2 linked regions of the Cricetulus griseus genome follow. The protein of the gene in region 1 purifies or fractionates together with the protein of each later gene. This does not show direct contact. Links are inferred from orthologs where the notes say so. Each region holds a gene or a part of one and is shown in the gene's direction. Other genes may lie near its edges. The genes, in order: Cct4 and Tle2.

The links.
Region 2: the proteins of Cct4 (region 1) and Tle2 purify together in Homo sapiens (affinity purification with mass spectrometry; 3 studies listed by BioGRID and IntAct, with this or other methods). This does not show direct contact. The link is inferred for Cricetulus griseus from reciprocal best matches to the Homo sapiens genes CCT4 and TLE2.

What each region holds. Positions count from the first base shown.
Region 1 is NW_023276807.1:83,763,493-83,766,475, reverse strand, and holds part of Cct4 (T-complex protein 1 subunit delta), read left to right. Parts: intron 1-998; coding exon 999-1,138; intron 1,139-2,082; coding exon 2,083-2,179; intron 2,180-2,731; coding exon 2,732-2,842; intron 2,843-2,919; coding exon 2,920-2,983. UniProt on the Homo sapiens protein: Component of the chaperonin-containing T-complex (TRiC), a molecular chaperone complex that assists the folding of actin, tubulin and other proteins upon ATP hydrolysis.
Region 2 is NC_048598.1:102,322,658-102,327,199, forward strand, and holds the start of Tle2 (transducin-like enhancer protein 2), read left to right. Parts: upstream 1-1,598; 5' UTR 1,599-2,693; intron 2,694-2,700; exon of another isoform or gene 2,701-2,808; intron 2,809-2,843; exon of another isoform or gene 2,844-3,115; intron 3,116-3,122; exon of another isoform or gene 3,123-3,393; 5' UTR 3,394-3,440; coding exon 3,441-3,473; intron 3,474-3,589; coding exon 3,590-3,687; intron 3,688-4,007; coding exon 4,008-4,071; intron 4,072-4,352; coding exon 4,353-4,397; intron 4,398-4,542.

The sequences.
Region 1 (2,983 bases):
TATATCTGCACACCAGAAGAGGGCACCAGATCTCATAACGGATGGTTGTGAGCCATCATGTGGTTGCTGGGAATTGAACTCAGGACCGCTGGAGGAGCAGTCAGTGCTCTTAACCTCTGAGCCATCTCTCCAGCCCAGCATCAATAAGATTTGTCGTCTTGTTTTTTTGTTCAGTTCGTTTGAGACGGGCTGTGTTTGTTTAAAATTCTCTCTCCCTTTTTCCCTTCCTCTCTTCTCATTTGTTGTCTTTCTGGAACTCATTATATAGACTATGCTGGCTTCAAACCTACAGAGATTCACCTGCCTCTGTCTCAGCTGCCTGCTGGTATTAAAGGTATACACCACCATGCCTAGTTCTGTCCCAAATCATAGAGTTAAAGGGTGTAGTGAAATTATTTCTGTAATATATATGATACTGACAAGCCAGAGTAAAAATGATACAATTAAAATTATTTTTATAATACATGTGATGTGTGGGAAAACTTCATATTGGGGGAATAGTAACCACTTTGCATTTGTCACTTATCAAAAATGTACTAGCAAAAAGTTTCAGACAGCAGTAGAGCCTGCTGTGGTCATGCATACCTATAATCCCAGCCCTCAAGTGGTTGGATGGTTAATTGAAGGCCAGCCTGAGCTACATAGGGAGGACTTGTCTTTCAAACATACAAAAACCAGTAATGGGTATGCTTACAATTTTAAGAAGAACCAGCTTTAGGCTGCTGCTGCTGCTGCTGCTGGTGGTGGTGTGTGTCTTTAGTCCTAGCACTTGGGAGGCAGGTAGATAGATCTCTTTAATTTCCTGGACAGCTTGGACTACACTGAGTAAACCTGCCTCAAAAAAAAAAAAAGAAACTAAAATAAGTAGAACCAGCTTTGTTTATACATGTCATTTTAGAACTTTTTCTGTATGTGCCTATTTAACTATTTGGTATTGGTCTTTTACTTTCCATTAAAATCTCTTGCTGTAATAATTACTGTATTCTTGTTCCAATCAGATGGATAATCAAATAGTAGTATCTGACTATGCCCAGATGGATCGAGTGCTTCGAGAAGAGAGAGCCTATATTTTAAATTTGGTGAAGCAGATTAAGAAAACAGGATGTAATGTCCTTCTCATACAGAAGTCTATCTTAAGGTCAGGGACTATTTTCTTATTCCTGAATTTATACTTGATTTGTGATTCCTGCTAGTAATTTTTAAAGCCATATTTATTTCATGTGTATGTGTGTGCCTGAGTGTATATGCTACATACGTACAGGAGCCCTTTGAGGTCAGAAGAAAGCGTTGAATGTCATAGAACTGGAGTTTATAAGGCAGCTGTGAGGTGCCATATTCGAGTCTAGGTACTGAACCCACGTCCTCCACAAGAGCAGCAAGCACTGTTAACCATTGAGCGAGCCATCAATGCCCTACTCCCACCCCCAGCAATTTCTTTTAAATAAACATTTGCTTAGTATCTAACACATGGGAAATCTAGAGTGAACATTTTGATGTATCGTATTTTCATTAGTAAAAACAGTACTATTTCTCTTTTAACATAAACATAATAGATTCCATTTCTAGATTTTAAGAACATGAAGGCTGAGTGATAGGATTATAGGCTGATCATGCCTATAATCCCAGTATTCAGAAGGCTAAATCCGAAGGATTGCTAAATCGGGTCAGTCTGGGATAGAATAAGGCCTTAAAAAAAAAAAAATAGAGATTGTAGAGTGACTTAGTTTTGAGTTTGGTTCCTAGCATCCATGTGGCCTCACAAATGTAGAACTCCAGTTCCATGGGATGACACTCATTGTGAAAGCACTCATACGCATGAATTTTAAACACTGACCAGAAGTAAAAAGAGCATGACATAGTTTTCAAAAAGCTATTTGTTCTGAAGTAACTGGTTGAGGCTAGAGATGTAGTGGAATCGATTACGTTTGCCTATGTGCACAAAGCTCTGGATTTGATCCTGAGCATGGCATAAATTGGGTGTTTTCCTTCATAATTGACCATTTGACTAGCAGTAAAATTAAAATCTTAACTACTGAACAAAATAAATTTTTAATCTGACATAACAAACGCTTTGTATTTCAGAGATGCGCTTAGTGATCTTGCATTACATTTTCTGAATAAGATGAGGATCATGGTGGTTAAAGATATTGAAAGAGAAGACATTGAGTTCATTTGTAAGGTAAAATAGTAATGTATGTAAAATGTTCATTAGCATGCATTGTGGGTGTGATTTTATATTATGGTTAGTAGTTTTGTGGGGGTTTGGTTGGTTGGTTTTGGTTGTTTGAAACAGGGTTCTCAGCATAACCCTGGCTGTTCTGGAGATCACTTTAGACATGCTGGCCTGAAACTCTGAGATCTGCCTGCCTCACTTCCCCAGTGCTGGAATTAAATGTAGTGCCACCACCACTTGGCAGTGTTTTTGGTTTTTAAGGGTTTTGTTTATATATATGAGTACTGTGATTCTGTCTGTACCACATGGTCACATGGTCCCCTCAGAGGCTCCTGGAACTGAAGTTAACATGGGTCTATGAACTGCCATGAGGTACTCTGTAAGAGCAGTCTATCGTTACTGAGCCTTGATTCCAGTACCAGCAGTGGTTTTTTTGTTGTTGTTTTGCATGCTGGGTATTGAGTCCAGTGCTTTGAATACTATACCTGAGAAGTTCTGGTTCTCCCATTTGAGTTCTGTCTCCAGGAATATTGACTTGTAGACTTCTCTTTCCCCCAGACAATTGGAACCAAACCAGTTGCTCATATTGACCAGTTCACTACTGACATGCTGGGTTCTGCTGAGTTAGCAGAGGAAGTCAATTTAAATGGTTCTGGAAAACTATTCAAGGTAACAGCATTACAGTTAAGCTTTGCTTTATTGTTTCCTCCCCCCCCATTACCTAATTTGTAATTTGTTCACTAAAGATTACAGGTTGTACGAGCCCAGGCAAAACAGTTACAATTGTGGTTCGTGGTTCTAACAAACTGG
Region 2 (4,542 bases), on another chromosome or scaffold:
AGCAGTCCGGCAGCTCCGAGCCTCAGCCTTTTCCTCCTCTCTGGTTTTGGAGAGCCGCCAAGGCAGGGGCAGCCGGGGGCCACGCTGACTCGGGAGGGCGGGAGATTCCGCGGTGCCCCCCCGCTGCCGGGCGTGATGGGGTTCAGTCCCAGGGACCCCGATCGCATCCCCCACCTCCACGGAGGCGTCGAGTCTGTGACTTCCGGACGCGCAGCTGCGGGGCAGAGGCCCCTTCCTCCGGGAAGTCCGCTCGGGTTCCCGGGGGCTCCCTCTGACCTTGGCCGCCTTCACAGCTGTGGGGAGGCTGCGGAAGGGGACCTTGGGCTCATCTTTGATAAGACCTGTGTGTCTTTGGGGGGGAGGGGATTCCAGGAAGTGCGAGCCCCAGAGAAAGTCCGGGAGCCACACCGCACATTAGGTCCCCTGGGATAAGGAGTCTGGAGCTGGAAGAGTGCACGGTGTGTGGCCTGCACGAGTGCTGCTGGCAGAAACCATGTCCTGGGTTTGCACCAGGTGACAGTACCGAGGCTGAGGGTCACTAGAAGGAAGGCCTATCCATCCCTGGGGGCCTATCCATCCCCTGAGGGGGCGGGGCGGGGCCGGGCCGGGGCCGAAAGGACTGCAGGGTAAGCGTGGTGACACGCACTGCGACCCTTACTCCCCAGGGGAGTCTGAGGCCAGCCTGGGCTACCAATAGCAAACGGGGAGAGGAAATACTGGGGTCCCAGACCGCCTGGGCACAAGGTGGGGACATAGTGTTTTCTCAGACTCCCCAGGAATCAGGAGCGTGCCCAGGATTTCTGGTGTGTTCTCCGATCTTGCTCCCTTGTCCGCTCTAGTTTTGAGCCAGGCCCTGGGGATAGGGGTGTGGCTCGGTCCTGACAGCCTAGGGAGGGACAGAATGACCTGACAGCCTAGGGAGGGACAGAATGACCTGACAGCCTAGGGAGGGACAGAATGACCTGACAGCCTAGGGAGGGACAGAATGACCTGCAAGGAAAAATGAAGCAGGAAACCAGTGTGGTGGAACCAGATTGAGGAGTAGGTTGTGTCCAGAGCAGCAGGTGCTGGGTTCTCAACCTATGGGTTTCGACCCCTGTGGGGTCGCCTGAGATCACCAGGAAACACACTACGATTTATAAAAGTTCAAGATCACAATTATGAAGTAGCAATGCAATAGTTTTATGATTGGGGGTCACCACAGCATGAGGAGCTGCATTAAATGGTTAGCGGCATCAGGAAAGTTGAGAGAACCACTGAGCTAGAAGATGCTTCAGGGACTCCAGGAGATGTTCGTTCATAGGGGAGAATCTGAGTGGTGGGAATGCAGAAGTGCGGAAGGAACCGTGCCCTGTACAGAATCTGCAAAGGCCCAGGGATGGATAGGCCTGAGATGGAGAGCATGGTGGTCCAGATATTGAGGGGGGGATTCATCCCTGACCACGCCCCCAGCCCCTCACTGGGGATTCTAGGCGGGGCTCCACCCTGACCACGCCCCCAGCCCCCCTCACTGGGGGATTCTAGGCGGGGCTCCACCCTGACCACGCCCCCAGCACCTCACTGGGGATTCTAGGTGGGGCTCCACCCTGACCATGCCCCCAGCCCCTCACTGGGGGATTCTAGGTGGGGCTCCACCCTGACCACGCCCCCAACCCCTCACTGGGGGATTCTAGGTCGAGATGGGTGTTGGGGGGCACTTCAGAAAGTTACTGAACACTCAGGGTGCTCCCTCCCTCTGGGTCTTCCTGTCAATTCCTGGCTCCCCCTGACTTTTTAAGGCTCCATCTACAATGGAGCCTTAATGACACCAACGGCTCCTGTTTGTTCGTCTCTGTCATCGTTTGTCTAAAGTCTTGCTTTTTGCACGGGCAGCTCCCGGTCTTGGCAGATCGTGGCTCATCTCCTAGAGTCTGTCCTTTTATCCTCGAAGTCCCGGGTCTCAGCTAACATCCTCCCTCTGCAGAATCTCGTAAAGGCCCTTGTCCCCTGTAGCTGACTTAGCTGTCCACAGAGGTCCAAATGTTCAAACGAACGAGGAGGGGTCTTTTCCCATGATCGTGATCGTCGTTGCCCAGTTTCCCAGGGCACAATTGTCCACAGTAGCACCAGGCATACACACATGTTTATTGATTTTGGCTTAAAGATGGGGCAGATCTGAGGTTTCTTCTCTGTGAAATGGGGTAGGAGCTCTCTTGTTCTGCAGAGTAGGAAACAAGCCCCCTGGGGGGGGTCCCTGGTGATAAGTGAGAGACACACTTGAGCTTGTTGTCAGAGCCGAGACTGATGGCACAGGCCTGTTGTCGCAGCTACTATAGGACTGAGACATAAGGATTCCAAACCCACGTTTTGCTTGGGGAACTGATCCAGACCTCATCTCCAAAAGTAAAAGGAGGGTTGGGGCATGGTTTGGAGCCTAGAATTCCCCAGTGAGGGTTGGAGGTGGTCAGAAGATGAGCTCTGCAAAAATGTTCTAGTGACCAGGTTCTATCCCCAGACCTAAGTTTCTGTGTACTAATTTAAGGTGTCTAGTCCTCTTGGACTCCCCACCCCCACCCGGTCTGAGGAGGCCACCCAGTGGACTGGTGGTGGCACCAACATGCATGTCAGGTTGCCCTGGTCTCTGTCCTGGTCCTTCACCCCTGATGCTCTGAGAGGTCACTCGTGAGGTCCCCACAGCTGGGCAGCATTGGCTAGTGAGCATAGCTGGGGTCTGCCTTTCCTGGGATTGGTGTTTGGGGGTGTTCATCCTTCATGGGGCCCCGTGTTACTGGCTCAAGAAAGACTCTTGCAACCCCCAGGGCTCCCGGAGTACGCAAGATTTTTTTTTCCTAACTTGTTTTTCTCTTTCATTCTTTTTTTTTTCTTTTGCGTGGGGGTGGGGCGAGAACAGTAGGCTCTAACTCAAGCCTCAGTTTCCCCAGCGGGTCTGGGAGCCAAGGAGGCAGACCGGTGCCACCTTAAGGCGGGTCCCGCCCGCGGCTCCCAGCCGAGCCCTGCGGAGAGAGGCGGCTCCGCAGCTACCGGCCACCAGCGCCGACCCCGGGCGGCGGCCACGGACCTGCGGCGCGGGCTGCAGCTGCCCCCGGGCCGGACAACCCGGGCGCGCTGGCGGGAGGTGGGGCGCCGCGCGGGGTCCAGGTCCCCTGCCCCCGGCAGGCAGGCTCTCCCTGGCTGCTCTTTCTTTGCGTGAAAATCCCTCCCCCAGCTCCGGCTTCTCTCCCAGCTTTTCCAGCCTCAGTCTCGCCGCACCCCAGCTCTAGAATAGCACCCCAAATTCTACCCTCTGCTCTGCCCCACACCCCACATTCTACTCCCAGCCTCAGCTTTGCACCCTAAATTTCTGTCCCCTGCTCCACCTCCGCACCCCAGCTTCCCTCTTGCCCCATCTCCAAGCCTCCACGAAGCTGGGCTGCCCCTTCTCCCATCCGTCCATCAGCAGGATGTACCCCCAGGGAAGGCACCCGGTGAGTACGGTGAGTACGGAGACCCCCACCTCTGACTGGAGCAGGGGAGGACGAGGGAGGGGATCCCTACCTGCTGGTGCCCGGAACTCCCCCCCCCCCCGTGTCCTTCTCCTCTATCCCCTCAGACCCCGCTGCAGTCCGGCCAGCCTTTCAAGTTCTCAGTCCTGGAAATCTGTGACCGGATCAAAGAGGAATTCCAGTTTCTCCAAGCTCAGTACCACAGGTGAGGGGGCCCCAGCTCTGGGCACTGGGAGGCCCCCGGGGGTGGGGACTTATGGAGGGGGCGTGGTCTGCAGGGCAAGGAGCGAGGCTCACCGGGAGGACTGGAGGGCTTCCTGGTGGAGACAGTGTTCCCAAGGTGACGTGAGTGGGTTTCTGGGAAAACCTTCCCTGAGGAAGGGTTTGTAGGCCTGGGCTCACCAGGGTTGGAGACAGTTTCTAAAGAAGTGTGGGGTGGGCAGGCAGCTCCTACCTGTCACGGAAACTGACCTACGTGGGGTGTGGTGAGGCGATCCCCCATTTTTGTCCAATCTTCCTGCCCAGCCTCAAACTGGAGTGTGAAAAGCTGGCCAGCGAGAAGACAGAGATGCAAAGGCACTATGTGATGGTAGGGTCCCGCCCTCGCTGCCCCCACTCTTGTGTTCCCTCTAAAGAGGGCAGCCAGGGACATGAGGAGCTTTCTCTGGGTGCCCTCCTCCCCAACCCCCAGTCTTGGACACTTGTCGGCCTCTCTGAGCCCAATGCCTTCTGGCTTCCCCCTCTGGGTCCCCGTGGGGTTCATGCTTCCATGCCTTGCCCTGAAGCTCCCACCCCTGAGGCTGGAGCAAGACTCCATGTACCCAGGATGGGGCCAGCTGTTCACACTGGTCAACACTGTCTCCTTTGCAGTACTACGAGATGTCCTACGGCCTCAACATTGAGATGCATAAACAGGTGACCGTTTGGAGTCAGGGGTTTGTGGGAAGGGATGATGCTCATCTGTGGGGCAGAGGCCATCCTCAGACATCTCTGGCGGTACCAAGGCCAGCAGAAGAGATTTTAGTCTTGTAACAAAAAGTATTCTCAGCATCTAGGGACA